3 linked regions of the Stegostoma tigrinum genome follow. The main gene of each other region encodes a partner of the protein of the gene in region 3 in a complex. Links are inferred from orthologs where the notes say so. Each region holds a gene or a part of one and is shown on either strand. Other genes may lie near its edges.

Region 1 (10,200 bases), on a different chromosome or scaffold from region 3:
GCGATGGTCTGGTGGTATTATTGCTGGACAGTTAATCCAGAGGCTTGAGTACTGTTTTCAGGACCTGGTTTCTAATTCCACCACGGCAGATGTGGTGGAATTTGAACGCAATAAAAAGAAAATCTAGGATTAAGAATCTAATGATAACTGCAAATCCACTGTTGATTGTTGGAAAAACCCATCTGAAGGGTCTAGGCCCGAAATGTCAGCTTTTGTGCTCTTGAGATGCTGCGTGGCCTGCTGTGCTCATCCAGCTCCACATTTTGTTATCTTGGTTCATTAACGTCCTTTAGGGAAGGAAACTGCCATACTTACCTGGTCTGGCCTTCATGTGACACCAGACCCACAGCTATGTGGTTGACTTTGAACTGCCCTCTGGGCAATTAGGGATGGGCAATAAATGCTGCCCTGTGCAGCGACACCCTCATCCAGATAGATCAATCTTTTGTTAGTGATAATGGGAACTGCAGATGCTGGAGAATCCAAGATAATGAAACGTGAGGCTGGATAAACACAGCAGGCCCTGCAGCATCTCAGGAGCACAAAAGCTGACGTTTCGGGCCTAGACCCTTCATCAGAAAAGGGCGATGTGGAGAGGGTTCTGGAATAAATAGGGAGAGAGGGGGAGGCGGACCGAAGATGGAGAGAAACCATCCCTCTCTCTGACGAAGGGTCTAGGCCCGAAACGTCAGCTTTTGTGCTCCTGAAATGCTGCTGGGCCTGCTGTGTTCATCCAGCCTCACATTTCATTATCAATCTTTCGTTACCCTGATTTCTGTAACTAAACCCAAACATTATTACCCAGGAGAGTTTGCAGCTGGCCAGGCTGAAACTCTATTCAATGTCTCGACCATGCCTCATGATGTAAGGTACCTTCTTGCACAACATTGATCTTCGAAGTGTTGTTGAACAAAGGGATTTCTTCAGGTTCTTTGTAAACAGGTCTCTGTGCCAAGTGTGTGCCTTATTTGGACCTGAATGACCCAGTGTAATTCCATTCACATAACTGTCTATTTTCAGTTCCTGGATGAACACAGCAGGCCAAGCAGCATCTCAGGAGCACAAAAGCTGACGTTTCGGGCCTAGGATCTTTGAAGGCCCTAGGCCCGAAACGTCAGCTTTTGTGCTCCTGAGATGCTGCTTGGCCTGCTGTGTTCATCCAGCTTCACACTTTGTTATCTTGGATTCTCCAGCATCTGCAGTTCCCATTATCACATCACAACACCAGCACCTGGATAGGGAGAGAGGGGGAGGCGGACCGAAGATGCACCAGCGCAGTTCTTCCCCTCCCCCCACTGCATCCCAAAACCAGTCCAGCCTGTCTCTGCCTCCCTAACCTGTTCTTCCTCTCACCTATCCCCTCCTCCCACCTCAAGCTGCATCTCCATTTCCTACCTACTAACCTCATCCCACCTCCTTGACCTGTCCGTCTTCCCCGGACTGACCTATCCCCTCCCTACCTCCCCACCTATACTCTCCTCTCCACCTATCTTCTTTTCTCTCCATCTTCGGTCCGCCTCCCCCTCTCTCCCTATTTATTCCAGAACCCTCACCCCAACCCCCTCTCTGATGAAGGGTCTAGGCCCGAAACGTCAGCTTTTGTGCTCCTGAGATGCTGCTTGGCCTGCTGTGTTCATCTAGCCTCACATTTTATTGTCTTGGATTCTCCAGCATCTGCAGTTCCCATTATCTCTATTCTCAGTTCCTGTCAGTTTTCATTACCTTCAGCCTTATCCAACAAGATTATTGCTGATCAATTCCACTTTCTATCTTTCCCCCATAATCCTTGATTTCCTTACTGGTTAAAAATCTGCCTGTTTCAATCTTGAATCCATTTAACAACACGCCCTTGAGAGCCCTTTGTGCTGACACTGGTGGTGGAGAAATTATTGAAGTCTATAATGAAGGGTCAGTCATGCTTGACAAACCTCATAGGGATGTTTGGAGAGGCGACAACGGTGGTGGCCAGAGGCAAGTGGATGGATGCTGTTAAAGTGGACTTAGAGTCATAGAGATATACAACATAGAAACAGGCTCTTCTGCCCAACTCGTTCATGCCGACCAGATATGGCCTAACTCCACAGAGCAGCCATGATTTATTTGAATCACAGAGATCAGGTTCAAAGGGCTGAATGGCCTTCTCCAATTCCGAGGTTCCTAAAGAATTCCACAGATTCACTACCCACTGAGAGAACAAATTCTTCCTCATCTCTATAACAAATGTGAAACCCCTTCTTCTGCAATTATGCCCCTGCTCCGAACATATCCTATGAATTAAAATAATCTGTCAGCATAGATCCGATCAGTTCCCTCAGAATCTTTTGCATTTCAATTAGATTTCCTCTCATTCTTCTAAACTCTAATGAGTACAGGCCCAATCTATTCAACCTCTCATCATAAGACAGTCCTCCCATACCTGGTGTCATCCTACTGAACCTTCTCTGCACTGCCTCCAAAAACAATCTTCCCTTGGATAAGGGCACAAGATCGTTCATAGAATTCCAGCAGTGGTCGTTGCTTTAGTAAGATCTTGTTCACCTCAGGTCAGGATGGCAAATGGATTATAGCGGAACATCCAGCCATTTGTCCTTTTGTTCTTACTCCAGTTCTATGTAATAAAGATGTTTCTTTGCACTTGTACCACTTGATCTCCTGTGAAAATAACAGGGATCTGTTGTTACATCTCAGCTGAAGGATGGTGTATAGTTGTGAGTACCACTTTATAGGAAAGATTGGAGGCAGATTTACAAGAATGGTTCCAGGAATCAGAAACTTACAGTCTTTTTTTGTTCATCATGGGATGAACGCCCCGCTGGCAAGGCTAGCATTTACTGCCCACTCCCTATTAATCAGAGGGCAGTTCAGAGTCAACTGCATTGTGAGATAACAAAGTGTGGAGCTGGACGAACACAGCAGGCCCAGCAGCATCTCAGGAGCACAAAAGCTGACGTTTCGGGCCTAGACCCTTCATCAGAGAGGGTGATGGGGGGAGGGAACTGGAATAAATAGGGAGAGAGGGGGAGGCAGATCGAAGGTGGATAGAGGAGAAGATAGGTGGAGAGGGGACAGACAAGTTAAAGAGGTGGGGATGGAGCCAGTAGAGGTGAGTGTAGGTGGGGAGGGGATAGGTCAGTCCGGGGAAGACGGACAGGTCAAGGGGGTGGGATGAGGTTAGTAGGTAGTAGGGGGTGCGGCTTGAGGTGGGAAGGGGGGATAGGTGAGAGGAAGAACAGGGTAGGGAGGCAGGAACGAGCTGGGCTGGTTTTGGGATGCAATGGGGGAGGGGACGAGCTGGGCTGGTTTTGGGATGCAGTAGGAGGAGGGGAGATTTTGAAACTTGTGAAGTCCACGTTGATACCATTGGGCTGCAGCGTTCCCCAGTGGAATATGAGTTGCTGTTCCTGCAACCTTCGGGTGGCATCATTGTGGCACAGCAGGAGGCCCAGAATGGACATGTCGTCTAAGGAATGGGAGGGGGAATTGAAATGGTTCGCGACTGGGAGGTGCAGTTGTTTGTTGCAAACCGAGCAGAGGTGTTCTACAAAGCGGTCCCCAAGACTCCGCTTGGTTTCCCCAATGTAGAGGAGGATACACAACGGGTAGAGCGGATACAGCATACCACATTGGCAGATGTGCAGGTGAACATCTGCTTGATGTGGAAAGTCACCTTGGGGCCGGGGATGGGGGTGAGGGAGGAGGTGTAAGGGCAAGTGTAGCACTTCCTGCGGTTGTAGGGGAAGGTGCCGGGTGTGGTGGGGTTGGAGGGGAGTGTGGAGTAGACAAAGGAGTCCCGGAGAGAGTGGTCTCTCCGGAAGGCAGGCAAGGGTAGGGATGGAAAAATGTCTTTGGTGGTGGGGTCGGATTGTAGATGGCAGAAGTGCCGGAGGATGATGCGTTGTATCTGGAGGTTGGTGGGGTGGTATGTGAGGACAAGGGAGATTCTCTTTTGGCAGTTATTGAGGGGACGGGGTGTGAGGGATGAGGTGCGGGAAACTCTCGGATTCTCCAGCATCTGCAGTTCCCATTATCTCTCAACTGCATTGTGAGTCTGGAGTCACAGGAAAGGCAAAGCAAGTAAGGATGACCGGAGCAAATTACTGCAGATGCTGGAATGTGTACTGAAAACAACAAATGCTGGAGATCACAGGAGATCAGACAGAATCCATGGAGAGACAGCAAGCTAGCGTTTCGATCTCTGATGAAGAGTCATCTTGATTCGAAACATTAGCTTGCTCTCTCTCCTTGGATGTTGTCTGATGCACTGTGATCTCCAATATTTTGTTGTTTTCAAGTAAGGATGGCAATTTCCTTCTCTAAAAGACATTAATGGGCCATATGGGTTCTTCCAACTATTGACAATGGATTGATGGTCATCATTAAAGTCTTAATTCCAGATGTCTGTTGAACTCAAAGTCCACCATCTGTTATGAGAGGGGTGAGGCAGAAGGGGGGGGGGAATGGGAAAGATGGGAAATTGGGGGCGGGAAAGATGGAGTGGAGGGAGAAATGGCAGAGAGAGAGATGGCAGAATGGATTGTGGGGAGAGAATGGGAGATGGTGGGAGATGAAAAGGATGGGAGGAGGTGGGGAACGAAAGGATGGGACGTGGAGCGGAAGAGGGGATAGGAGGGGCGTGGGTCAGCAGAGGTAAGTGGGGAGGGGACAGGACGCAGGGGAGTGGGCAGAGAGGGCAAGGGGGAGAAAGGGAACAGGGATGCAAGGAGAATGAGGGGACGGAGAGGGAGGGGTTGACAGAGACCGAGAATGAGGGTAAGTGGGAGAAGGGAGCGGAGTGGTGGGAGGGACAGAGTAAGAATGGGTTGAATGGGGAGAGAAGTGATGGGGAAAGGGGGTGAAGGTGGAAGGGGAGAGAGGAGCAAAGACGGAGAATGAGGGGAAGGGGTGACAGTATGTGGAAAGGTGGAGGGTGGGGTCAGAAAGGGTGGGACCAGGGCCAGGGGGCGTTGCCAATGTGCGCTGGGGAGGAAGGGCCAGGGCGAGGGGGCGGGGCCAGGGCGAGGGGAAGGGCCAGGGCGAGGGGGCGGGGCCAGGGCGAGAGGCGGGGACCGTCCGGTGGTTTCGGGGGGGGGGGGGGGCGGGTCCACGGATGCCTACGGAAGCCTCTGAGAGCCTAGAAGCCGTTAATTCGGCAATTGCCGCGCGGTTTTGAGTTTGTCGTTGTTGTGCCTTCTGCTTCGCTACGCCATGGCGGCGCATCTCAAGAAGCGGGTGTATGAGGAGTTCACCAAAGTGGTTCAGGTCAGGCGGCTTTCCTCTCCTGAGACTGCAGCTGGTTGTGCCCTGCCGTTGCCCCTTCTCCTTCCTGCTCAGCTCCTTCCCCCTCCCGCACCGACCCTCAGGAAAACGGCCTCCTGCTTAGGCCTGAGGCCTAACCCAAGGCCCCTTTTAAAACAAATAACTTTGATGTGGAACGTGGATATTTGTTCAGCAGCTGTGCCAGGGCAACCTTTCGTAACCATACAGCTTTAACTTTGTACAATATCTTGAAGGTTTAGATAGGTTTGATTATTTAAAAACATCTGTTTTGCAAGAGGTTTAAAGTTACTGCTGTCAAAATTTGAGAGCCTTGAAAGTACTTTAACGTGGAAAAGTAGATATTTGCTCCAAAGTGAATCAATGGTTGGAATATAATTTAAAATTGTAGATTTTGTACGTTACATTTTAAAGCCCACTCATGATTTTGAAAACCTTTATCAGATCCCCTGCCCTCTTTCCGAGGAGGTCAGTTCCAACTTCTCCTACTTATCCTCATAACTGAATTGTCTCATTCCAGGAACTGTTCCTGCAAATTGCTCCTGTGCTCTCTCCAGTGCATTTGTGTCTTTCCTATAATGTGGTGCCCGCAACGGCCCTCAGAGCGTCCCACCCAGACCCATCCCTGGACATTACGGGCAATTTCCCATGGCCAGTCCACCCTGACCTGCACATCTTTGGACTGTGGGACGAAACCCATGCGGACACAGGGAAAATGTGCAAACTCCACACAGACAGTCACCAGAGGCTGGAATCAAACCCAGCACTAACCATCGTGCTGCCCCTTTTTAAGCAACTCATTGGGACACAGCAATTGGAGGTCCAACTAAGATTCGAACTTGGATAGCTGGATTCCAAGTCCAGATTGCTAACCATTACACCGTGGAACCGACTGCAAACAAGCAGGGCTTCACGACAGAATTCAGTGCACTCCAGACAGGACTTGAACCCGCAATCCCTACCTTGGGAGGGCAGTGCCTTCTCCATTAGGCCACTGGGGCCAGGCATATCTAGTCACCTCTTGAATACATTCAATGTTTTGGCAACATTCTCCCCATGTCTGCAAGGGTTTCCACCAGATGCTGTGGTTTTCTCCCACAGTGCAAAGATATGCAAGTTAGGCGATAACAAAGTGTGGAGCTGGATGAACACAGCAGGCCAAGCAGCGTCTCTGTGCTCATAAGATGCTGCTTGGCCTGCTGTGTTCATCCAGCTCCACACTTTGTTATCTCAGATTCCCCAGCATCTGCAGTTCCCATTATCTCTGAATGCAAGTTAGGTGGACTGGTCGTGCTAAAATTGCCCATAGTGCCTGGGGATGTCTGGGTTAAGTGGATTTGCCATGGGAAATATAGGGTTACAAGGATAGGGGGTGTGTGTGGGGGGGGGGGGGGGAGTGGGGGCTCTGGGTGGGATGCTGTTTGCAGTGTTGGTGCAGACCAGATCGGCCAAATGGCCTGCTTTCATGTTTTAGGGATTCTATGATTCTACATCCACCTGCAGCAAAACCTGTACAACAGCAGGTCTTGGACTAGTGAGTGGCAAGTAAAGTTTGTCACATGGGTGCAAGACCATGATCATCACCAAAAAGAATCTGGCCCTTAGCATCAATGTCACTCCATCACTCAGTACCCCACTATCAGCATCCTGGGAGCTACTATTGACCAGGAACTGAAACTTGCCCATTTTCTACAGTTCATAAGTCAGGCGTATGGTGGAATACTCCCTGCTTATGTGGATACGTGCAGCACCAACAACACCAGATGATTCAATACCATTCAAGAAAAAGCCACCTGTTTAATTTGACACCTCATCTTCCACTTTCAATTTTCACACGCTCCACCACCAAGGCACAGTCACAGTGGATAATGTGTATCTATAAGCTGCTCTGCAGCAACTTACCAAGGCTCTTTAGAAAGTATCCTCCAGATTTTTGACCATTGTCACCTAGGAAGTCAGGGGTAACGGATACATGGGAAAACCACCACTGCAAATTCCCCTCCAGGCTACACACCAACCTGACTTGAAAATATATGCCTTGCCTTTACCGTTGTCATGTTAAAACCCTGTGGGTGTATCTATATGCCATATACTGCAGCACTTGCAATAAGAATTTGGGATGGATAATAAATTCTGGCCAGCTAGCAAAAAGTGCATACAATGAATAACTGAAAAATATTATCCCCCATTTCTCCCAGTGTCATTCTGCAGAATCTGTGTTGTATTCCCCCCAAGGCCATTATACCCATGTTGAGGATCAGTGCTCCATGCTGAATGTAGTGCCCCAGATGGTTTCATAGTTGTACATGACCAGCAAGACCCATGAATGCTCCCCAAGAATACATGCTACAAATTCTGTGCAGTGACAAATCCTATAAAAGGTGGCCTGCTATTACTGTTAATTGAAATGGTATTGTTTGTCTTGGTCTAAGCCCGTCTGTGCTACAAGACTGTGGATTGAAACTCCAATGAGAGTGTTGTCCTTGTCATCCAGCTGATTTGTTGCAGTACCAGTGGGATGATGCATAGTCAGAAATTCCACAGCGCAAACAAGACACTGAACTGAAGCTGAATCTGTCTTTTGCAGATTGAAGAAAAGAGTCCCATGCCACAATTTGTCTTAGACCAAGGAGGTTCTCCCAGTTGGTGACACAATCATCTGATTCAAGAGATTATGATCTCAAGAACCATCCTAACCAAGAGCAGTGAATTTGAACAGAAGCATGGCATTTAACATAGATAACAAAGTGTGGAGCTGGATGAACACAGCAGGCCAAGCGGCACCTTAGGAGCACAAAAGCTGGTGTTTCGGGCCTAGACCCTTCATCAGAAAAGGGGGATGGGGAGAGGGTTCTGAAATAAATAGGAAGAGAGCGGGAGGCAGATCAAAGATGGATAGAGGAGAAGATAGGTGGAGAGGAGACAGACAAGTTAGAGGGACAGGGATGGAGCCAGGAGAGGTGAGTGTAGGTGGGGAGGTAGGGAGGGGATAGGTCAGGCTGGTGAGGACGGACAGGTCAAGGGGGCGGGATGAGGTTAGTAGGTAGGAAATGGAGGTGCGGCTTGAGGTGGGAGGATGGGATGGGTGAGTGGAAGAACAGGTTAGGGAGGCGGGGACGAGCAGAGCTGGTTTTGGGATGCAGTAGAGGGAGGGGACATTTTGAAGCTTGTGAAATCCATATTGATACCATTGGGCTGCAGGGTTCCTAAGTAGAATATGAGTTGCTGTTCCTGCAACCTTTGGTTGGCATCATTGTGGCACTGCAGGAGGCCCAGGATGGTCATGTCGTCTAAGGAATGGGAGGAGGAGTTGAAATGGTTTGCGACTGGGAGGTGCAGTTGTTTGCTGGACTTCACAAACTTCAAAATCTCCCCTCCCTCTACTGCATCCCAAAACCAGCCCAGCTTGTCCCCGCCTCCCTAACCTGTTCTTCCTCCAACCTATCCCCTTCTCCGACCTCAAGCTGCACCTCCATTCCCTACCTGCTAACCTCATCCCGCCCCTTGACCTGTCCGTCCTCCCTGGACTGACCTATCTGCTCACTACCTCCCCACCTACACTCACCTCTACAATCTCCATCTCCGCCCCTTTAACTTGTCTGTCTCCTCTCCACCTCTCCTCCTCTACCCATCTTCGACCCGCCTCCCCCCTATCCCTATTTATTTCAGAACCCTCTCCCCTTTCCCCTTTTCTGATGAAGGGTCTTGGCCAGAATCGTCAGCTTTTGTGCTCCTAAGATGCTGCCTGGCCTGCTGTGTTCATCCAGCTTCACACTTTGTTATCTCGGATCCTCCAGCATCTGCAGTTCCCATTATCTCATGGCATTTAACTGTTCCCTAGTACATTTTTCAAACAGCCCCTCTACTAGTCAGGGTTAACTTGCCAACCAATATGCACCCTTTTCTCATCCAATATAAATTGTTGTTCCCATTGAGATATGGTGCTTGGTCCTGATGAGTGCAAGATGAAAAGCTTTGATGGCATATTTCTTTTCCTCAGCAATATAAAAGCAGGTTGATGCTTTAGTCCAGTTTATACTGTTAATATGTTGTTTGTGGTGTGATTCTGTATAAGCTGTACAATCATGAGGGGCATAAACGGAAGAATAAGAGCAACTGTTCCCTTAGTTGAACTGTCAATAACAAAGGGTCACACTTTTCAGGTGAAAGGCAGTAGGTTTGGAGGGGATTTGAGGAAAAAGTTTTTCAGAGGAAGATGATAGTCTGGAATGCACTGCCTCACAGGGCAGTGGAGGTAGGTCACTTGCAGAGACTTCTTTAAAAAGTATGTGGATGAGCACTTGAAATATCATGATGATCAAGGTTATGGGCCCAATGCGGGAAAGTGGGATTAGTGTATGTAGGTCAGTGCAAACCCGATGGGCCAAAGGGGCCCCTTCTGTACACTATAGCATTAACTGTTTTTAACAATTCATGCAGTTTTTCCTTGAGGTAATATGGGTAAAGTTAGATTGCTTGTTTCAGACCCCTCATAATTTGTTTCAGGTTGCCAGAAGTTGAAATAGTTTTACTCATTCATTTGCTTTTTTTTGCGTTGTAATTTATTGCCACTTGTATTTATAGAAATTCAGTGAAAAGGCTTCATAATCCTGCGCCATTTTGTTAGAAAATATTATACAAAGAAATGATTGAGACAGAGTTTAACAGTAAGTTAACAATAGGGTTTTTGTGTCACTAGCCTTGGCTTCCCACTGATGAAGTGGAGTGCACTTTCCCCCTAATGTTAAGAATCTAATGTCCAAACTCTCACTGACAAGACGAAACGCTTGTCTTCAAACTGGTCACAGATACTGAAACATCAGCAAATCTTCACTCTCTCTACCCACAGTAAATCAGAGGATTTTCTGCCTGATGATCGCAGGAGCATTACAGCATGCAGAACATAATATACTGATGTAGTGGGTG
Region 2 (11,096 bases), on a different chromosome or scaffold from region 3:
TTTCCAACACTTTACCAACAACTGAGGTAAGGCTCACTGGTCTATAATTACCAGGGTTGTCTCTACTCCCCTTCTTGAACAGGGGAACCACATTTGCTATCCTCCAGTCATCTGGCACTATTCCTGTAGACAATGGCGAGTTAAAGATCAATGCCAAAGGCACGGCAATCTCCTCCCTGGCTTCCCAGAGGATCTGAAGATAAATCCCATCCGGCCCAGGGGACTTATCTATCCTCACCTTCTGAAGGATTTCTAATACCTCTTCCATGTGAGCCTCAATCCCACCTAGTCCACTAGCCTGTATCTCAGTATTCTCCTCGACAACATTGTCGCTTTCTAGAGTGAATACTGTTGAAAAAAATTCATTTAGTGCTTCCCCTATCTCATCTGACTCCACACACAATTTACCACTACTATCCTTGATTGGGCCTAATCTTACTTTCGTCATTCTTTTATTCCTTAAATACCTATAGAAAGCCTTAGGGTTTACCCTGATCCTATCCACCAACAACTTCTCATGTCTCCTCCTGGCTCTTCTGAGCTCTCTCTTTAGGTCTTTCCTGGCTACCTCATAGCCCTCAAGTGCCCTAACTGAGCCTTCACATCTCATCCTAACATAAGCCTTCTTCTTCCTCTTGACCAAAGATTCCACCTCCTTCGTAAACCACGGCTCCCGCACTCTACAGCTTCCTCCCTGCCTGACAGGTACACATTTATCTAGGACACACAGGAGCTTTTCCTTGAATAAGCTCCACATTTCTAATGTGCCCATCCCCTGCAGTTTACTTCCCCATTCTATGCTCCCTAAATCTTGCCTAATCTCATCGTAATTGCCTTTCTCCCAGCTATAACTCTTGCCCAGTGGTATACACCTATCCCTTTACATCACTAAAGTAAACATAACAGAATTGTGATCGCTATCACCAAAGTGCTCACCTACTTCAAATCTAACACCTGGCCGGGCTCATTACCCAGCACCAAATCTAATGTGGCTTCGCCCCTTATTGGCCTATCTACATATGAGAAAAATCAGAAATTCCCACGGAAGGACTTTGTTCAGACAGAACAGAAATTACAGAAGCGAGCAGAGGTTATCAAAATGATGATAGGATTTGCTAGGGTAAATACAAATAAACTATTGTGAACACAATCGTAAAGTAAGTGCTAGGTGCTTAGGAGTGAAGTCAACATATACGTTCTTCTCCTAAACAAAGGAACCAGAACACTGGAACCTCCTCCTTCAAAAAGCTATAATGCTGAGACAATAAGAACATTCATGGCTGAAATCAACAGATCTTGTGAAGCAAAATTAATAAGAAATATGGAACAAAGTTGAGTGAGTTCAGGTACAGATCGAATTGAATGATGGAATATATTTGAGGAGCTGAATAGCCTGTTCCTGTTCCTACTTACCTCAGCACAGGCCTTCAAACAGGTCTTTTTGAAGCCAAGCAGTTCTGAAACATCTTTCCTGTTGCAGTCTGTTTCACAGGTTCTCCATACAATATGTCTCAGTACCACAGCAAGACCAGCTCGACAAAAATTCCCATCCTTTTCCACCAGAGCAGGCAGACGACAACTCTTAACCACAGGAGGCAGTTCCTGCTGGGAAAGGATATTGATAGGAATGTTGGTTGGTGCTCCTTTCATCCACAAGAGATTGCTAGCACTGTCTTCGTTAGGCACCAGGAACACTTTAATTGATGTGGATTCACAGTAGGACATTAAAAATAAAACAATGGATGTATGGAGAGGAAAGACTGTGTCCTCTGTGTGGTTGGACAGTTCCAGGTACAGACATGCTTCATGCATGCAATTGTTCTTCATGTCCACAACTACCTATAGAGAGGTGAATAGCAGCTCATTAAGAATTCAGTCATAGATGCTACAAATTGATTTGCATTTTTTTTAATAAAAGGTATGCTGTTAAGTATTTCTTTCTGTCACAATCAAAGGAATCAAAATTACGGCAACTGAAAAGCGATAATTTAATATTTCTGCTGGTTCTTCCAGGGAAATCAAACAGGAAGGGTTGAAAGAAATTGAAATAATTGAAATTGAAATAGCTTACTACTTTCCAGCTTAACAAGAGCTAAAATCAAACTAGAATTCCAGGCAAATGAAAGGAAAATACAGAAGATCAAAAATAACTGTCATATGCTTTTGAACAAAATACACAAAATATTAAAATAGAGTGAATGTTCATAAAAAATATATAGCACTTTTTTGTTTAAGAAGAGGCCAGATAGCCATAAGGGCATTGTGGAAGAATTGACACATGGCCCCCATGAAACATAGCAAAGGCACTATTAGAGTCATAGAGCATTGAAACAGACCCGTTAGTCAAATTAGACAATGAACTGATCGTATAATTATAATTATTATTCTGAATATACTTAAAAAAGGCTCCTGCATGGCAGTTAGCACGGATATTCTTCAACTTGACACTGAATCTCCTGAAACAGGGTTCGTGGGTTAAATATTAATTAAACTTGCACTTACATAGTGCATTTGCAACTTAACTAACACTAAATTCTCATCTTAATGTCTCATATACAGACTTGGAACTGTATTACTGTTCCTTCACTGTCATTGGTCAAAATTCTGGAACTCCCTTCCTAAAATGATTGTGAATGTACTTGATACCAGAAGTTCAAGGCAGCTATTCTACCACCTTCACAAGGGAAAAATCAGGATCAATAATAAGAAATTTTTAAAGCAAAACTTGTTTGAAGCCTATCAAGACTGAAGGTTACTCACAATGGCAGCATTGGCTCAATATCAGCATTCTTACATGCAAGTTCAAAGTTTGAGAGTTCCAGTCATACTTTAGAGATATACTACTGAGATATTATCATTATCCAAGCTGAAAGTTCAGTACAGGAGATGGTGAGTTTGGAATAGCCTCTAAGGTAGATATAACTGATTCTAAGGAATTGACAAAACCAAAGGAGAACAAGTGATGGTGGCAACCCTGAACCCTTAGCATAAGAAACAATCTGGTCATTATCTTGCAGCTGTTTGTGGGACCTTCCTTTGTAGAAATTGCCGTCATCAATTCCCACTGAATTCAACTACAACAGAGTCTCAACTTCAAATGGGCTTCATTGGCTATGAAGGTCTTTGGTTATCCTGAGGCCATGAAAGGGTGCTGTATGTTGTAGGGCATGCAGCAGCTGCTCCTGGTTCTGCTCTGCTCTCCTTTCAGTAGATTGTAGCGTACCCTGTTTGCCTCACCCTGTCTAAACACTCTCTGATCTGCCCATAGTGCTCACAAACAAAAGCTTTTCATTGTACTTAGGTATATATGATGATAATAAATCAAATCAAATAAATATCCTGCTACTAATCCCTCAGGAATACTATTCTGGGGACTTTATTAATAAGAAGTGGTGAAGAATTATCATAAAACGTTTTGGCAGAAATGGCTCAGTGCTGAGTAACAAGAAGTGTTTATTACATAGCTACAGAGATAGAAGACAAGAGTATTGTCTAAGAATAATTAGGCCAACCCAGGTTACATGGTTGTCAATTGTAAGGGTGAGACCAACAGCTTAGAACCACGACCTGGCAGATGAACTAAACTCATCCGGTGGGCAGAGCTATAGTAAGGCTACAGAGTTAAACACTTCAGGCCAACTGCTTTGTGCAACATTAAATTTCTGATTCAAGAAAGAAATGATATGCTGCTACCTTAGATTGAAAACAAAATCTAACAGAGTTGCTGCAAAATACTTGGAAAATGCAATATAATGTGGATAAATATGAGGTTATCCACTTTGGTCACAAAAGCAGGAAGGTAGATTATTATCTGAATGGTGGCAGTTTAGGAAAAGGTGAGGAGCATTAAGACCTGAGTGTCATGGTGGAATAGTCACTGAAGGTTGGCATGCAGGTGCAGCAGGCAGTTAGGAAAGCTAATGGCATGCTGGGCTTCTTAACAAAAGGATTTGAGTATCAGAGTAAGGATGTCTTCCTGCAGTTATACAGGACGTTGGTGAGGCCACATCTTGAGTTTTAGTCTCCTCGTCTGAAGATGGCCATTCTTGCTACTGAGGGAGTCTAGTGAAGGTTCCCGGGATGGCAGGACCGACATATGAGGAAAGACTGGACCGACTGGGCTTGTACTTGGTGGACAAGTGTGAAATAATGCACTTTGGTAGGAGTAACCAGAAGGCAAAGTACTGGGCTAATGGTAAGATTCTTGGTAGTGTAGATGAGCAAAGAGATCTCGGTGTCCATGTACACAGATCCTTGAAAGTTGCCACCCAGGTTGACAGGGCTGTTAAGATGGCACACAGTGTTTTAGCTTTTATTAATAGAGGGATCGAGTTCCGGAACCAAAAGGTTATGCTGCAGCTGTACAAAACTCTGGTGCGGCCGCACTTGGAGTATTGCGTACAGTTCTGGTCACCGCATTATAAGAAGGATGTGGAAGCTTTGGAAAGGGTGCAGAGGAGATTTACTCGGATGTTGCCTGGTTTGGAGGGAAGGTATATGGTCACAGAAATTTGAGGGTGCATACATGAGGATCAATGGTCGGCACAACATTGTGGGCTGAAGGGCCTGTTCTGTGCTGTACTGTTCTATGTTCTATGTTCTATGTTGCTTGGTATGGAGGGAAGGTCTTATGAGGAAAGGCTGAGGGACTTGAGGCTGTTTTCATTAGAGAGAAGAAGGTTGAGAGGTGACTTAATTGAGACATACAAAATAATCAGAGGGTTAGATAGGATGGATAGGGAGAGCCTTTTTCCTAGGATGGTGACGGCGAGCACAAGGGGGCATAGCTTTAAATTGAGGGATGAGAGATGTAGGACAGATGTCAGAGGCAGTTTCTTTACTCAGAGAGTAGTAAGGGAATGGAATGCTTTGCCTGCAATGGTAGTAGATTCGTCAACTTTAAGTACATTTAAGTCATCATTGAACAAGCATATGGACGTACATGGAATAGTGTAGGTTAGATGGACTTCAGATCGGTATGACAGGTCGGCACAACATCGAAGGCCGAAGGGCCTGTACTGTGCTGTTATGTTCTATGAATTTAGAAGAATGAGGAGGAATCTCATAGAAACATATAAAATCCTGATGGAACTGGACAGGCAAGAATGGGAAGAATGTTCCCAATCTTGGGGAAATCCAGAACTAGGCGTCACAATCTTAGAATAAGGCGTAAGCCATTTAGGACTGCCATGAGGAAGAATTTCATCACTCAGACAGTTGCAAACCTGTGGAATTCCTTCCCACAGGAAGCCATTGAAACCAGTGCATTAGATATATTCGAGAGAGAGCTGGACGTGGCCCTTGCTGCTCAGGGGATCAAGGGGTGCGGAGAGAAAGCAGGAATGGGATACTGAGATTGCATGATCAGCCACGACCATATTGAATGGTGGTTCAGGCTGAAAGGGCCAAATGGCCTACTGTACTCCTGCACCTATTTTCTAAGCTTCTGTGTTTCTACGTACTTCACTAATTCCAAGTCCTGCTTTGTTGTAAGAGGTTTGCCTACACGGGCTGCCTGACGATAAACTGGAACGTCTGAATGAAAGCAAAATGCAGCGGAGTGAAGCGAACACAGAGAATGCTGAGGAAACTCAGCAGGCCTGGAGAGGGAAACATGTGGTTAAGGCTTCTGAAGAGGGGTCATACCGGATCCGAGTCGTTAACCCTGTTTCTCTCTCCACAGATGCTGAGATTTTTTTCCCTAATGGAATATTTTCTCAGCCCAGCAACTGATGGAGGCTTTGACTGAAGGGCAGCGAATGGGGCGGCGTCCTGCAGCTGGAAACCTGGATCTTGTCGGGAAGACAAAGCACAGGAAGGAATTGAAAAATGAGCACAACTGAAGAGATTTTTATAAATACCAGTATTCCATCACCTCCACCCCACATAAACACAGCAACCCAATTACCTGCAACCCACTTGGCTCATCAATGCCCGGGTACCGGGGAGGGGGGCGAGTGCTTTAAACAGACGGACCGGATGTTACCCGTTGCTAGGACTAAAAGTCGGGGACGAATATAAATGTGGGACCGGAAGTATCGCTAGGCAGATGCTGAGTTGCTAGTATGCTGATATTAGAAGCTTCCTGAGGTTGCAGCCCTGATACTAATCTGTAATTGATATATGTATTCGACATATTCTTTCACGTTTGTAGGACATGGCTGTTCCCAACCTAGAGCTGGACCCACTCTTCCTCAAAGCCTTGGGTTATCTCCATTCAAAAAGCAAAGACTCGGCAGAGAAACTGAAAGCCCTGCTAGATGAGACCTTGGCTAGAGGCGGTGATTCCAGCTTTCGACAGGCGCAAAAGGTACAGTTTCCTCGTATTTAAAGTAATACTTTTAAAGGTTTATTTGAATGAGGTAGTTGGGCATAGGGAAATAGCTGATTTAAAATGGACATGAAGAGAGTCAGAGAGGAGCTGGAGCTTATTTTTGTAGGTTTTATTATTGGAACACAATGTTTGAAGCAATGAATGAGACAGAAGTTGCTACATTCTTGAAAGGAATTGTGTACGGTGCTGTGAAGAGAGGGTTGCACAGTGCAATAATAAATGTTTCTTTTCCTGAGAATATTCAGCACATCAGGTAGCAGCTGCAAAGAGAGAAAAATAAATTTAATGTTTCAAGTCGGTAAACTTTCATCAGAGCAGTAGGCTTTGGATCTCTCCAGCAAATGGGCTTCATTTGGTGCTGTAACTGTGCAAGAGTGGGTTTTGTTTAAGGGATGCTCCCCTTATGAAGTGATCTCAGCACTTCCACTGTTCAGTTAATTACTTGGTGACTGTATCAAGTATTTGGATGTGAATGCATAATTTGTGAGAAAAGCATAAGAGATAATCTGCAAAGTTATACAAAAAAAAATGAAGAGGGTGTTTAAGCATGAGGGGAAGAATGACAGGGAGAGAAATTAAAAAGTTGGTATTTTAACAAAATATTGAGAAAGTGAAGGTCTAAGTAGTGCCTTCCTAACTGAGTATCTAATCTGCTCTAATGTAGAGCAGAGAAATGAATTACTCAATTCTCTTATAGTTTGCAGCAAAGCAGAATACATCATTACAGAGATCACCTAGTAGCTAGAACAATGGTAGAAAACTAAGTGCAGGTTCTTGGCTGAATGAAGTTTAGAGTGGTTTTGTTATTGGAGACAAATGGGATGGTACTGGAAACCAAATACTGAATTGAATGTAATTTATGAGGATTTATTCATTGAAAATACTGGTTATCATATTTCTCGGCATATATACAACATAATGATCATATGTGAAACATTGCCACAAAAGATATTTTGAAACATGACCCTTACAGTTTTATCTGCCTCTCCAAGATAAAACCTAATTGCATCATCAAAAACCACATTCACTTTGATGTGATTTGTATGATGACTTCCAGAAGGTCACTGTATAGACATGAGATTCAATGTAGATGCCTATAAAATGTTTATTTCCAATTTTTGGTTTTTGATACTCCTGCATATTCAATTTATCCAAGAGGATAGATAGTTAGCATGCACCCAAACACTGGCAATGCTGTTGCAAGGTGAACTTCCAAGAGATGTCTTCAGATCTTTGTTTACTTCCATGTTGTGCTGTATAATTCTTCCCAGCCCCAAGAGCAGAGATGAGTTCAGAAATCTGCTCTGTTTGGAAATATTATAATGCAAAATTGCATCCAGTCACTCATTGTGGTGTTGCTTCAAACTCTAAAGTGTGAATATGAGAGAATACACTAAGTGATAACCTTCAGACTATTTTTGGCACATTTTTAAAATAAGCTAAGATGATTCGCTGGTGACTCTTTCTAAAATATATCCGTATTAGTTTATCTTGGAAGGTAGTTCTGTTAGTTCTGAGGGCAACAGTTCTAGATTCAACTGCCACTGTAGGACCTGAAAACATGGTCAAGCTGGCACTGCAGTTCACTACTGACATACTCCTACACTGTTGGTGGGATCTTATCTTTGGATGAGAATTTAAACTGAGTCCATGTTTGCCTGTCCAGATGAATGTGGAAAACCTTTTTAAGAGGAGCAGCATTCTTGCCACATCCCTTTTCAATCACCGTTGCCAAAAACAGATGAACTGCCATTTTTTCTCACGAACTCAACAATGTGATAATGCTATATTTATGCTATCAAATTAGCTGTGGCATTTATCTTTCTTTATTCATGGGATATGGATGTAACTGATTGGCCCAGCAACTCTAAGTGCACTGGAGGAATCGATTGTGAGCTGTCTTTATGAACTCCTACAGTTCTTGGTCTGTGGTGCACCCACAGGACTGTTACAGGAAAGGTAGTTACAGAATTTTGACCCAGGGATTGAGTGGAACGGCAAGTTCCCCTCCAAGCCACAACACCATCCTGACTTGGAATTTTGTGGCCATTCCACTCAGTGTCTGGGTCAAAATTCTGTAAAATTGTTCATGTGTTCTGTGAACTGGTTTATACATGAACAATGACTACACTTTGAGGCATCCTGAGGATGTATAATTTGCTATATAAATGCAAATTCTGACTTGACATTTTTTTTGAAAGGATGATCTATTGTAACTTTGGAACAATTTACGGTGGCTTCCCTGTCTGATCAATTTCATTTCTCTGCTGTGACAGACTGGAAAAATTAAAGCCTGAATTCTCCCTGTCTTATTGTAACTGCTGCCTTACGCAGCTTATCTCCAAGTTGTAAGGCTGTCTTAATAAAGAACTTGCAGACCAGCAATTTCATTGTTGTGCCTTTAAGGCTTCATATTCAGGATCACACAGAGTAAGTTGTTTCAGAGGGTGTAGCTCATTCACTACTCCTGTATCTTTGAATGACCATCAAATATTTATTATCTTCCTGTCTATGTGCTGGCATTTAATGAGATGTCAGCTAATCTCTACTTAAACTCCATTCACCCAGTGTTAATTACTCCTCCATTGTTAGCCATTGTTTTATGCTCCTTGCCTAGGACATTGAAACACCCAAGGTGACTGCCAGCATCAAATCCAGTTCAACAAAGCAGGAATCCAAAGTGTCTTCATCTCTCTCACTGGGCAACAATGGTAAATCCAGCTCCAATGAGAAAACCAAGAAGGAAGCTGAAAAGAGACCTGGTGAAAAGGTTAGAAGTTTCTGGCTAAATTTGTTCTGCAACTGCAAATAGATGTTTCCATATAGAAACCATTCATAGTACAAGAGAAAGTTCATGCTGTTGACAGTGAATTATAAATAATCATGATTTGGAACAACATAACGGATATTTTGCTGTTCACATGCAAAATTTCAAATTTTATCCATAAGAAAGTTGTCTTCAGCTCACTGAAGGGCAAAAGATCAGGTTCATCTTAAATTCTGTACATTGTACTTAGCCCAAAAACAAGGAATATAAAATTTGAGGCACTGTTCTTTATCTTATAATTTAATTCATAATGATTGACTGATTAGTTAACCCCATGGATCTTTCAAATTTTTGAAAGGTTAAACTAGATCCTTTGGAGGGAGTTGACCCCCAGAAAAAAGCCAGATTGGAGAAAGCGGAGAATCGATCCTCTCCCATTACTGTTCAATCCAGCAAGGAGCTGCCAATGCCTGACCTACCTGGCTTTGAGAGTGCAGAGGACTTTGCCATGGAAATGGGACTGGCGTGTGTCGTGTGTCGGTATGAGAAATTGTCTTTTTACATGTTGATGACCTGAACTTTGACACACTGAGCTGAGACCATATGATGTGTTCAGGTTAGGTAGAGTTAGGAACTAAGGGAGATAATCAGATTAGTGCAGATGGAGGTGATTCATCCTTATTTAAAAGCTATACTTTCTGTCCTTGCTATAAATCTTTTCAACGTAAATTCCAACATCCCTGTTTCTAATGAAAGCTGTCATCTTAAATACATCCATTTGCTATTAAATAATGCTGCAGTCCTCCAATGTATCTGTTAGTTATGAAACTGCAGGTGAAAAGGTAGAATTACCCAAAGGTAATTTTACTTATTCAAGAGGTAGGTTTCTGTGTTTCAAAAGAAAGTATTATTTGAATGGCAAAAACTGCAGAAAGCAGCAGCACAATGGAAATTGGGAGTTCTTACAGAGTCATAGAATTCTACAGCATGAAATGCTTTTGCACAAAACACAAAAAGCTAGCAAACAGATGCAGCAAGTAGTCAGGAAGGCTAATGGAACACTAGCCCTCTTCAATGGGGTTAGAGTACAAAAGTAGGGAACTCGAATTGCACCTGTACAAAGAGCTGGTGAGACCACGTCTAGAGTACTAAGGGCAATTTTGGTCTCCTTGCTTAAGATTTCACTTCATGAGAGGCAGCTCTGAGAAGGTTAACTGGAATGATCCCCGTGTGGAAGGATTGTTTTATGAGCAAAGGTTATACAGCGTGGGACTCTACTCACTGGAATTTAGAAGCATGAGAGGTGATCTCATTGAAACACACAGGATTCTTAAAGGGTTTGACATGTTAATGCTGAGAACGTTTCCACTTGAAGGGTCTAGGACCAGAGGGCACAGTCTCGGAATAAAGGGGAGCCAATTTAAGAGGAGAAGAAGGAGAGGAAGTGAAATTTCTCCTCTCCGAGCATTGAGTGTCTTTGGATCGCCTTGCCAGAGAGAGCTATGGGGGTGGAGTCCTTGTGTATATTTAAGACTGAGATAGATTCTTGATCATTTAGAGAATCAAGAGACTGGGACAGTGCAGGAAAGTGGATGTGAGCAATGTCCGATCAACCATGATCCTGTTGAAAGGCAGAGTAGGTTGAGCGGCTCAAACCTTGTTCCTATTTCTTAAGGTCTTATGGTTTATTTTGTGGATTTGAAATCAAATATTCTAGTGGAAGAATAAACAGTTCTCAAGAACATTGAAAAATGTTGAATAGAGCAAGTCACTGCCCAAGGAGTGGTGGGCGTTGGGAAAACTGCATCGTTGTTGTTAGGACTTGTCTTCGCCCTTAGTCAGCCGTAGCAGAAAGGAGTAAAACAAGATTGGGCAACTGGCAATACTACACCTGCAGCACAAATCATCATTTGGCAGCCACAACAAGACTGTCGGGTGGATTGTTTTTCCTTAATGGGCAGATCATTTCAAAAAGATCAAATTTTGCATTTCACA
Region 3 (11,228 bases):
AATTCCAGTGTCACACAAGTTTCAGACAATGACCACCCCCAACCAGAGAGAGTGTAACCATGTTTCCTCGACATCACCACGACTGAATCCCCCACTATCAACATCCAAAAAATAGCATGGCGTTTGTTTACCATTGGCCAGACACCGATTTGGAAGAACCATACCGTTATGATCGCAGTGAAAATGGACCGTCAGCATTCAACTTCCATAATTTGAATTTAATGCATGAAACTTTCATGAATTAAAAATGGTTTTAAAAAGGACACTGCTGACCTAAATTGGCTGCTGTGATCACCTGACAACCTCAAGGAATTTATGTGGAATACAAAAAACTGGCTGCATTGGAAATACCATTTTAATCAAAAGGCACTGAAATTCAATAAGATATCAAGAAATTTGTATCTCGTGTTTTACTCGCACTTGCACGATGATTATACCTACTCGGAGATGAAATGTTGCCCACAACTAGCCAATTTGGAATGAAACAATGACAAATACACCAAAATCTGTAAAGGAGTGGTATATCAACAGCAGCTTTTGAGCAAAGAGACAGAGAAAGAGCAATGTACACTAATAACGGCAAGTACACTGGAAGCTCTTCTCTCTCCTTCATTCAATCTCAGTCCCACAAACAGGCATTGATGAGAAAGAAACTCAGAAAATTGATGCACTGAGTATCCAAGCTCTGAAAAATGTGTCATTGATAAAGAAATAAGACAATGGTTAAACAGTTGGACTCTCACATTTTCATTCTCACAACCCACGGGACTCTTAAAAACTGTAACTGCATTTGCCTTTACTTTCCTGTCTGTACTACATACCTCTCTCTGCCCTCAACCTTTTTGCAAGCTCTGCATTTGTGTACCTTTATAATGTCATGCTTTCTTGTATTTTTATAATAAAACACTCTTTTGCACTCAGGAAAACCTTGGAATTTTCTCTTCTTCATTCTTAATCTAGTTAATTAAGTTTGATTGAAGTGTGGTTGTTATGTGCTTTAAAATAACAAAAATTGTTGCAACTGATCACTTGAATTAGATTAGATTAGATTCCCTACAGTGTGGAAGCAGGCCCTTCAGCCCAACAAGTCCACACCGCCCCTTGAAGCGTCCCACCCAGACCCATCCCCCTATAACCCACACACCCCTGAACACTACGGGCAATTTAGCATGGCCAATCCACCTAACCTGCACATCTTTGGATTGTGGGAGGAAACCGGAGCACCCGGAGGAAACCCACGCAGACAGTCACCCAAGGTGGGAATCGAACCCAGGTCCTTGGGGCTGAGAGGCTGCAGTGCTAACCTCTGAGCCACCATGCCGCCCTAAAATAGAAAATAAAGAGTGGAGTTATGACCTCTCCTCACCTAGTTATAACAATATTAATACTGTGGCTACAATGGCACATCAGAATCTGGGAATTCAGTGTTAAAGAACTCACTCCCTGACTTCCCAAAGGGTGTCTAACTACTTGGCTCAAATCAGGAATGTAATGGAATACATTATTCTTGCCCAGAAGGTGGTTTCAACAATGCCATCCAAAACAAAGTAGCCCACTCAACTGGCATCCCATCTGCCATCTTCAACATTTATTGCTGTTTCTCTTAGGCAATTCCTCAGTATCCAAAGATAGTAAGAACTGCAGGTGCTGGAGTCAGAGACAACAAAGTGTGGAGCTGAAGGAACAGGTAAGTTCAGAAAATCCCTGAAGAAGGGTCCCGACCCAAAATGTCAACTTTCCTGCTCCTCTGATGCAGCCTGGCCTGCTGTGTTCCTCCAGCTCCACACTGTTATCCCTCAGTATCCAAGGTGATTTCCTTCTATTCTGGTTCAATTGGTTTTAGGTTGGCTGATAAACCCAATGCATGATCTGCAGTCCTGATGGTTTGGCCAAATGACACATTTGGGAATTTATGTACCGTCTCCACCTGACAAAGTTTCTCGATGTGTTTTGTGCCTTTCTACTAAAAACCTTCTCCATTTTGGTGTGTTACCAGCCAGGCTCCCATTAGTCAGCAGGGATCTTTTCAGTACTGTTTTGAAGACACCCATAACCCTTAAAAAAAAAAATCACTAGCTCTACCATCAACATACAGTGGCAACTGTGCATAGCATCAACAAGATGCACTGTCACAACTTGACAAGGCTCCTGCAACAGAACCTTCTAAACCTGCAATCACTCCCAATGGACAAGGGAAGCAGACACATGGGAGTATGACCGGCTTGCAAGTTCCCCTCCAAGCCACACACATATTTGATTTGGAACCGTACTATCATTCTTTCACACTCACTGAGTCAAAATCAGGGAACTCCTTTCTTAACAGCGCTGTGGGTGTGCCTACACCAGATTGACTGCAGTAGTTCAGGAAGGTGACTCACCACCAGAGTCAGAAGGGCAATTAGAAGATGAGCAACAAAGGCTGCCCTTCTCATGGACACTCACATTCAAAGAAAGAATTAACAAAGCAGAAAGAAAATATTTGGCTCCTTTTAAAATGACAATACTGCCCACTATCCCTACGTGAATTAAGTCAAAACCAAACAAACTGCGGATGGTGGAAATCAGGAAAAAAAAACAAAGTCGCTGGAAAAGCCCAGCAGGTCTGGCAGCATCTATGAAGGAAAAAAAGAGAGTTAAGATTTCGGTTCCGGGTTCTGAGGAAAGGTCACCGGACCCGAAACATTAGCTCTGTTTTTCCCTTCACAGATGCTGCCAAACCTGCTGGGCTTTTCCAGCAAATTTGTTTTTGTTCCATGTATAAAGTCTCCTGTTTAACAGCAACTTGCATGTCACACAGATTTTATGAAAGAGTTTCCAGCAGGCAGGAGGTCTCATCCCAACAGCTGCCTCATTAAAAGGCTTAAATTTCCAAGTTATTAAAGCTTCTTTTTTTCAGTTGCCATGCAGGTCAGTTGCTGCAGTGACTGACAGCCACCACCACACAATCTATGCTTTATGTAAACAATTTTAGAGGGGTGGGTTGCAAAAATGAATGCCAAGTTAAAGCAGAAAATATTAGAAGGGCTTGGTGTGCTGGATCGTGTCCTAGGCAGCAAAATACATAACCACAGTGTGGGGCAAGGGTGCCCTGGTCAACCTTTAACCCTTGGCCAACATCACTACAACTGTGTCCAATTTTGGGCCCCACACCTCAGGAAGGTCATACTAGCGCTGGAGGGTGTCCAGCGGAGATTCACATGGATGATCCCTGGAATGGTAGCTTTAACGTATGATGAACGGCTAAGGATCCTGGGATTGTTCTCATTAGAGTTTAGAAGGTTGACCGGAGATCTAACAGAAACTTACAAGATAATGTATGGTTTAGAAGGGTTGGACACTAGGAAGCTGTTTCCGTTAGGCAGGGAGACTAGGACCTGTGGGCACAGCCTTAAAATTAGAGGGGGTAAATTTAAAACTGAAATGAGATGACATTTCTTCAGCCAGAGAGCGGTGGGCTTATGGAATTCATTTTCGCAGAGTGCAGTGGAGGCCGGGACGTTGGATGCCTTCAAGGCAGAGATTGACAAATTCTTGATCTCAGAAGGAATTAAGGGCTACGGGGAGAGTGTAGAGAAGTGGTGTTGAAATGCCCATCAGCCATGATATAAATAGCGGAGTGGCCTTGATGGGCCGAATGGTCTTACTTCCACTCCTGTGTCTTATGGTCTGATGGTATGGTCTAACTCCAATGATTGCACTGAATTCTGGAACAGTATCATCCTATGTTCTTATCTGATCATTAGCACAATCCTGATGGTGGGATTTTGATGTCTATAAATTAGCCACTGCCTCTCTTACAATACAACCAGTGACTGCACTTCAAAACTCTTGCATTGGGTGCAAAGCATTATGAGAGGTTCTGATGTTGTGAAGGGTGCTACATAAATCCACATCTTTCTTAACAGCACAGTCGAAATACAAGCTAATAAGAAATAGCTGGATACAAAGTTTGTGTGGGGCGGATGGTGAGAGGGAAGACATTTTATGGACCATGGATAGTTTCAGAGGTACATTTCTCATCCCTTTTGGTGAGAATAGATAAAAATACTCAGGGAGGGAGAAAGGGCGAAGCAATTAAACGTAACCCTCCAAGCAGACAGTCCAGAGCATCCAAGTGCTCCCAGGAACCAGAGCAGACGGTCTCCAACGCCAGCAGATTATTCCAGACATTGACTGAAGCACAGAAACGTAAATAATGTAAGTGGAACACAGACATGAAACTGCTTATATCATTTACATTGAAATGAAATGAAGCTGCAGACCCTTTTGATTTCTCTTGGTCTGATTTGACTCAACCTGCGTTCGCCATGAATACACAATAAGCACACCTCCTACTGTATGTGAGATGGGTTGAAATACATAAAAAAAATCCTCACCAGCTTCATCGTCCCTTTCAAGCAGCACAAACCGTTTCCATGGACAACCTACCCTCCCCAACCCCTCACACTCTTTCACCTTCTCTCCTCACGCGCCAGAAGATGAAATGTCAGAGTTCGAGGAGAGGAAGGCGCAACCGTCGACGTCGTCGTCGTCGTCGTATGTGGGGAACGCGCGTGCGCGACCCATGAGCCCCGATCGCAGGGAAGGCTGGGAACTGTAGTCCGAGCGCCGACCACGCCTCTCGCGTTACGGGGCCGGAAAGCTGAAGTTTCGGGTCGAGATCCTCATACAGAAAGGTTATTCTGAAGAAGTGTCGCGACCCGAAACGTCAGCCTTCCGGCTCCTCTGATGCTGCCTGGCCTGCTGTGTTCATCCAGCTCTACAACCTGTTATCTCAGATTCTCCAGCACCGGCAGGTCCTACTATCCCGTTTTGATGGGGGTTTAGTGTAGGGAGACTACATGTCCCGGCGTTCTGCGCGAGCGCACCTGCGCACCCCTGAGCAAGAGGCGGAGGGCGGGGATGAGGGAGGGACGGACGGACGGAGAGCTGGCCGCCCCCCGCCTCTTGTCGCTGTGGGAGCTTGATGTTGTTAATCATGGCGGGTCTGAGGCAGACAAAGGCGTTGAGACCTACTCCTAAAGTGCAGATTTAAGAAAGTTTCTCGCGTGGTGTTTTTCTCTTTTTTTGAAAGAAGGAAAATTTAAAAATATAAATGAAACAGCTAGCTCCTTACTGGGTAAGAGAATGCACCCTGATTATGTTTAAATGGATGAGATTATTTCCAAGAATCGCAGAGGAAGCTGATAAGGTGGTAAGTGTTTTATTTATGCTTGACGGAGGCTGTTTATTTTTAATTTGTGGGTAGTAATTGGTAAGTCTGAGCTGTTTGTGTCAGGCTAATGTACATAATGTTTTGTTTCATCTAAATACTATTTAGTGTGTATGTGCTCATTGTGCAGAGAATCAACTCAGCTAGTTATCAGAACTGTCAAATTTCAAGGAAAATGCTGAGATTTATAAGAAGAAAGGCAACACGTAGTTACCACAATCAAATGTGGTTTTGTTTTCCAGAGTGCACTGCACCAAAATACTGAATGTCGTTGAAAATAATGTTCCTTAAATTGTGAGATATGATATTTGGCATTAGGTCTCAATGGTGTTTTGAATTTAGGAAGGATTCTCCTTCGGAGGTTACGCAGGCAAGTTTCGAATGGGTTATTTTGTTCTACACAGTCTCACTGTTGTGACTACTTACGGGCAAGTTTCCATATGGAGGCAAAACACATGGAGCTGTGTGACTGAGTCATTCCAGTCTTCTGTGCTGGAAGGATGCTATCAATTCATGTTATTGTGTTTAGGGCCAGGTAAACACTTTAGCGATCACAGGTGGCCTAATATTCTTTAACTGTGACTTGAGTTTCTGCATTGTATGTTTTGAATTGGAGTTTTACTGTCTTATTTGTGCTACAGTATGAGCCATTGCTCCTGGATATCTTGTTAGATGAAGGCTATGCTTGTTATTGTTGTTTCATGTAAATTTAAAGCTGAGTATGGGGATATTTGTTAAAGCACAGATTTTAATGGATTAGGTTTCCAATAAATGGTATATTGTAACACAACTAGATATTTTCAAATGTGCTGGAAAACACACTGGGATTACATTTTATGCGTGTTCTGTCATTTTTTAACGTATATCAGGGACTTGTGCAAAGACAATAGCTGAATACAGTGGAGTTCTTAAATCGTGAGGCAGCTGTACAAACTTGACTGTGAATGGAGTAGCAGTGGTAGTCACATGTGGCCTTGTTAGAATGTCTGAAAGTACTTGAGTGAATGAGTGACAGATTTGGATCTGCCTCACTTAAAAGTGAACTTTTCAGCAGGCTGCATTAGTTTTTTTTTGTTTTGACTCAGCATGGTTCCTCTTATGATACACTACAACTCTGAGTTCACAGCTCAGGCATGGAATTTTGTGGATAGAAAAGCATTGGGGGGAAGAAAACTCTTGTACTGGTACAGAATTGCCTGATGCTGATTTAAGCAGAAGTATCTTGTCTCAATGCAAAACATGTAAAAAGCATTTGAGATTATTTTTCTCTTGTTGGCAGCAATCAGAACATAAATACAGCTAGTGATGAGCAAAGACCATTGAATTCATTTTTGAACTCACCCAACAGATGGCTAACTGCATCTTCAACTCCACAATATCTTCAGCTCCAATCTTGTGGGCTTGATAAATTTGGGGATTTATTACCATTTTTGTGTGGAGAATCTTTGGCTAAGGCCTTTGTTATTTGGCTGAGACTTTATACTGGGGTCCATCTGCCTCTTGTGCTATTTTGAAGGACAGTAAAATTATCTCCAGTGTCATGGCCAATGTTGTATCACTCACCATTACAAAAACCCAAAATCTATCTTTCTTTGTGGGTGAGCTTGCTGTGTACAAATTGGCTGTAGACCATACATTTGCAATGTCTTAGAGTCATGCAGCATACAGATGGGCCCTTGACTCACCATGTCTACACCAGACTATACTGATCCCATTTCCCATGCTTAGTCAATAGCCCGTTATGCCCTGGCATTTTAAGTGCTCATTCTGAGGTGCTGAAAACATTTGGTTGACATTAAATTCCTTTTGCTGTTTACTTGCCCAAATATGAACTTTTTGCAAACCCTAATTGCAGTTCTCAATAAGCATTTTTTTTAGGGAATCTAGCAAGCTGATAACTTCTACCTTTATCCCCACAGTGTAGTGTTTGTACAAAGATTCCTGTAACCAATTTTTACTTCCTTCACATAGCATTATGCCTCTTACAAATGCACAGTTTCCTTTTTTTGTCCAGTTTCTTATCCAGACCCACAATGTTCTCAGGATTTCCATGTATTGTAGTTCAACTAGTATCCTTTCAGTTGGGAATCTGTATGCTATTCTTTGGCAAAATGCAAAACTTGCATCACACAGTATCTCATTATTAAGATTTTTCTAAAATGCTTCACATAATATGCTTTTGAAATGTAATGACTGTTGTTTTAACTGCAAGCACAGTGGCTAGTTTATGCATAGCAAGACCACAAAGAGTTAGTGAGACTAATAATGTACTTGTATTGTTCATGGAGAGAGAAATTTTGGTTAGCTAGCTGGAGAATTCCTGATCTTTTAATCATAACATGGGGCCTTCTAGATTCCTGAGAGCTGTGTTGAGGTGGCAGAAATGATCAAAGATGGAAAGAAGGAAATCTTTCTTCAGATACAGCTGTAACCACTTTCAGTTTATCAATCCTTTATGTTTTTTATTGCTGTTGGCGGAATCCTGTGTTTAGCCTTTTTTATGAAGTTGTATGAACCAAATGTTAATTTATAATACAGTTGAGTGGATGTGTCTAGATATCTATCTATATCTTGAAATTTGCAAAGCGACAGACAGATTGTACCAGCAACAATATTGCATTTGCAACAAACAAGTTATTTTGATAATGACATCCAGCCTACAGTAATACCAAAGAAGTCTCTCAAATCCTCTGTATGTGATCAGTAAACCTTCTGTAAGGCCTGTCACCATGCACAGAGGGTTCTGAAAGAACATTTTGGAATTTACAATATTTCCTGCAGAAAAGAGATTCAAGCCAGCTGCAACTGATCTATCAAGCCATCTCTGCCATGAGTTTGTGTGTGCAAAGTGACTTTAGCTACAGATCAATGTTTGGGATGATCTGTGAATTACCCATTTCTCCTGAGTTTATGTCACTTGGCTAAAATACTTAAGATAAACTGTTGCAGAGTTTTGTTTTTCATCAAATCTGAAGGTTGTGTGTGAGACTTAGTTTTCAAGAAATGTAGTATATATATTTTCGTAAAGTGTTTAAGAATTAACTGGGTTAGTATTTCAGAACCATGATTGTAAACAGCGTCCGGAGTATTAATGGGAAATTTATTTACATGGTCAAGAATTATGACAGGGGAAAAAAAAATTGGAAGACATTGTCCTAAACACACAAGTAAATTAATCAAGGAATGACTTTACCCCAGCAAAATCCAAAGAATGGAAAGCTTTTGGGCAGTCCTAGGAAACTTGATGCAAGTCAGATGCAAGTATAGTTTTTCCTGGATCCCCTTGTTCAGATCAGTGAGGGAATAAGTTAGCTCAGGGAAAGAGTTTATTTTGTGAAAAATCCAGACCCACAGTATTTAGTTGGAACCCTGCAGGCTATTTAAAGAAAGCTTAAGCTCTTTAATTGTGTGAATATTCAAGAAAAATGCTTTACAGATCACAAGACTGGAACTGAGAAGAAGTTAAGTCAAACTTACAGGTTTTATGGGATGAGAAAATCTTTTGGTGTTTTGATTAACTGTATAGTGGTAGTGTTGGGGAATAGATGGGATTTTGTTTTGCCCTGTATTTTGAAGTATTTCAAACTGTTGTGTTAGCTTGGTTAGATCTATTCTAATTTGATTACAACTGTGTAATAAACTTGTTATATTGGTGAATCAAAATCTATAGCCTTCTGTGTTTGTTTCAGTGAAAGACTGCCATTTTAAAGTTGAAAAAAAATTATCTTTAAAGCCACATTTAGTTCTGTGATCTGACTTGCCCAATAGTAACATCAGCTGAGACTATCACACTAACATTTTTTTTCCGCTTTACACCCATACTGGATGTGAGTTTGCTCCCTGAGCTAGAAGGTTCGTTTTCAGACGTTTTGTCACCACTGTAGGTAACATCATCAGTGTCCCACTTTCTATTTATCTGTTTAGGTTTCCTTGGGTTGGTGATGTCATTTCCTGTTCTTTTTGCATCACCAACAAATGACATCACCAACCCAAGGAAACCTAAACAAATAAATAGAAAGTGGGACATAACACCAGCGCTTCACCGGAGGCTCACTGATGATTTAACCTACAGTGGTGACAAAACGTCTGAAAACGAACCTTCCAGCTCAGCAAGCAAACTCACATCCAGAACCTCAACCTGAGCTACAAATCTTCTCAAAACTCGCTTACACCCATACTCTTTTTCATTGCTAAGTAGTTGGAATTTGAGGTAATCTGATCTTAATTTGAAATTGTAAATTGGGACTTTTTATTTAAATCTGAATTTGTGGGAAAAATTACAACTAATAGAATCGGAATAGGATCCTGTTTACATTCAAATATCTGCACATCTTGGCTACACCAGTGTCAATACTGCACATGAGCCTCTTTCCATTCAACTTGTTCACACACTGTTAATTTCCTTGCTTGCATTTAAGGTATGAAAGTACTTCCTTAAAAAATGTTGAATAATGTGAATAAGGTTCATTATTATCCAGAGGTTGGAGTTTTCGACACCAGAAGGTTTAGTGGTGACCTGTTTTCTCTTTCAAAACAAAACACTAGTTGTCAGGTGTATTTGCCAGTTGACTTCCAGCATTCTGTCCAGTGGCTATCTTTCAGCTGTGAGCTTGGAAAATGAGTGCCTGAACATCATTTGCCTGTAGGGGCATCACCGCTGAGCCCATCCTGTTATCAGTGAGTTTTTAGCAGCTGTTTGGTAGCAATAAACAACTTGTCAAATATCATTTTGTCAGTTTATTTTTAATTGTGAACCTTTACCTAAAATGTCTCACCTGTTTGTAGATATAACCATCACAGCGCAAAAGAACCACAAGTTTTATGTAAAGTGATTTAAAACACTGTTAGCACAGTTGGATGCCTCGTAATTAAACTTATTCCTTTTGACACTCTTTCGTGGAGTTTTTGTTGGGTATGTGATGCTCATCTCTCAGCACCTACACACTGAAGAATCAACTGCTGGACCCGTCCTGTCCCAGTGACATTACTACTCATCTTTACTCTGTCCATCATAACTATACCAATAGAAAGTAAAGTTCAGAGGAGAAATATTTGAAGGTGAAGAGGGGATGCTACGTTAGTCATTTAATTTTCAAATGAAATCAGTATGCACATTGAAATCAATTAATTACCCACTTTTACTAAAGCTAGAAATGCTGGTCAGAGAAGTGGTTAACAGGGACTAGAGGCTTTGAATTATAGGGAGAGGCTGTTTAGATTGAGCTTTTTCCCTGGAGCATTGGAGGCTGAGAGGTGACCTAATAGAGGTTTATAAAATCATGAGGGGCATGGATAGGGTGAATAGCTGAGGCCTTTTTCCCAGGGTAAGGGAGTCCAAAACTAGAGGGCATAGATTTAAAAAGGACCTGGAGAGTAACTTTTTCATGCAGAGGGTGGTGTGTGCATGGAACAAGTTGCCAGGAAATGGTGGGAGCTGGTACAATTTCAAATTTAAAAGATACTTGGATGGCTACATGAATAGGAAGAGTTGAGAGGGATATTGGTCAAATGTTGGCAAATGGGACTAGGTCAGTTTGGGATATGTGGTCAGTATGGAAAAGTTGGACCGGAGAGTCTGTTTCTAAGCTCTGTGACTGTATTTCAGATCACTGACCTTGTGATAGAGCTCTGATTTTTCTGATAAAACACCATTGACCTGAAATGTAACCTCTGTTTCTCCCTCAAACGGCACTGTGTGAGTTGTTAGAAATTTCCAGCAATTTCTGTTCTTATTTCATATTTTCAGTATCCATTTTCATCATTCCTGTGTTAGTTGTTGTTCAGATATACGGGTGAAGGGTATTGCTTAAATAATTACCTATAGCAGTAATGGTGGTCTTGTGCCACAGCGATAGTATCCCTGCCTCTAGATCAGAAGGCCTCGTTTCAAGATCCACATGCTCCTGAGGTATGTAATAGCATCTCTGAACAGATCAGAATCCCAACAGTGTGGCAGCAGGCTATCGAGTCCACATTGATCCTTGAACAGCATCCTAACCATACCCACCCCCTTACC

The links.
Region 1: the proteins of ints9 (region 3) and ints4 are in contact, whole or in part, in a cryo-EM structure (PDB 8RC4), measured with the Homo sapiens proteins. The link is inferred for Stegostoma tigrinum from reciprocal best matches to the Homo sapiens genes INTS9 and INTS4. Residues at the interface, in NP_060720.2 of Homo sapiens: Lys2, Tyr4, Lys18, Ser21, Thr22, Leu43, Val44, Gln45, Glu87, Glu89, Leu90, Asp92, Asp97, Thr122, Glu145, Arg146, Val147, Pro148, Lys159, Glu174, Ser176, Thr177, Ser192, Gln195, Phe206, Gly207, Ile379, His380, Ser384, Asn385; in NP_291025.3 of Homo sapiens: Leu53, Gln54, Leu57, Gln58, Arg61, Lys62, Pro86, Ser87, Leu90, Lys91, Ser94, Gln125, Gln129, Asp132, His164, Gln207, Asp208, Pro209, Arg210, Arg212, Asp244, Tyr245, Glu246, Gln247, Trp296, Phe837, Gly840, Leu841, Val842, Val843.
Region 2: ints9 (region 3) and ints12 share a complex: the UniProt entries of both Homo sapiens proteins name them as parts of the integrator complex. The link is inferred for Stegostoma tigrinum from reciprocal best matches to the Homo sapiens genes INTS9 and INTS12.

The regions. Positions count from the first base shown.
Region 1 is NC_081359.1:108,915,309-108,925,508, reverse strand, and holds the start of ints4 (integrator complex subunit 4), read left to right. Parts: upstream 1-5,120; 5' UTR 5,121-5,205; coding exon 5,206-5,259; intron 5,260-10,200. UniProt on the Homo sapiens protein: Component of the integrator complex, a multiprotein complex that terminates RNA polymerase II (Pol II) transcription in the promoter-proximal region of genes.
Region 2 is NC_081354.1:10,699,516-10,710,611, reverse strand, and holds the start of ints12 (integrator complex subunit 12), read left to right. Parts: upstream 1-6,016; 5' UTR 6,017-6,157; coding exon 6,158-6,310; intron 6,311-8,951; coding exon 8,952-9,104; intron 9,105-9,459; coding exon 9,460-9,641; intron 9,642-11,096. Other genes in the region: gstcd (glutathione S-transferase C-terminal domain-containing protein), read right to left, coding at 1,414-1,827. UniProt on the Homo sapiens protein: Component of the integrator complex, a multiprotein complex that terminates RNA polymerase II (Pol II) transcription in the promoter-proximal region of genes.
Region 3 is NC_081362.1:89,094,425-89,105,652, forward strand, and holds the start of ints9 (integrator complex subunit 9), read right to left. Parts: upstream 4,666-11,228; 5' UTR 4,386-4,665; coding exon 4,377-4,385; intron 1-4,376. UniProt on the Homo sapiens protein: Component of the integrator complex, a multiprotein complex that terminates RNA polymerase II (Pol II) transcription in the promoter-proximal region of genes.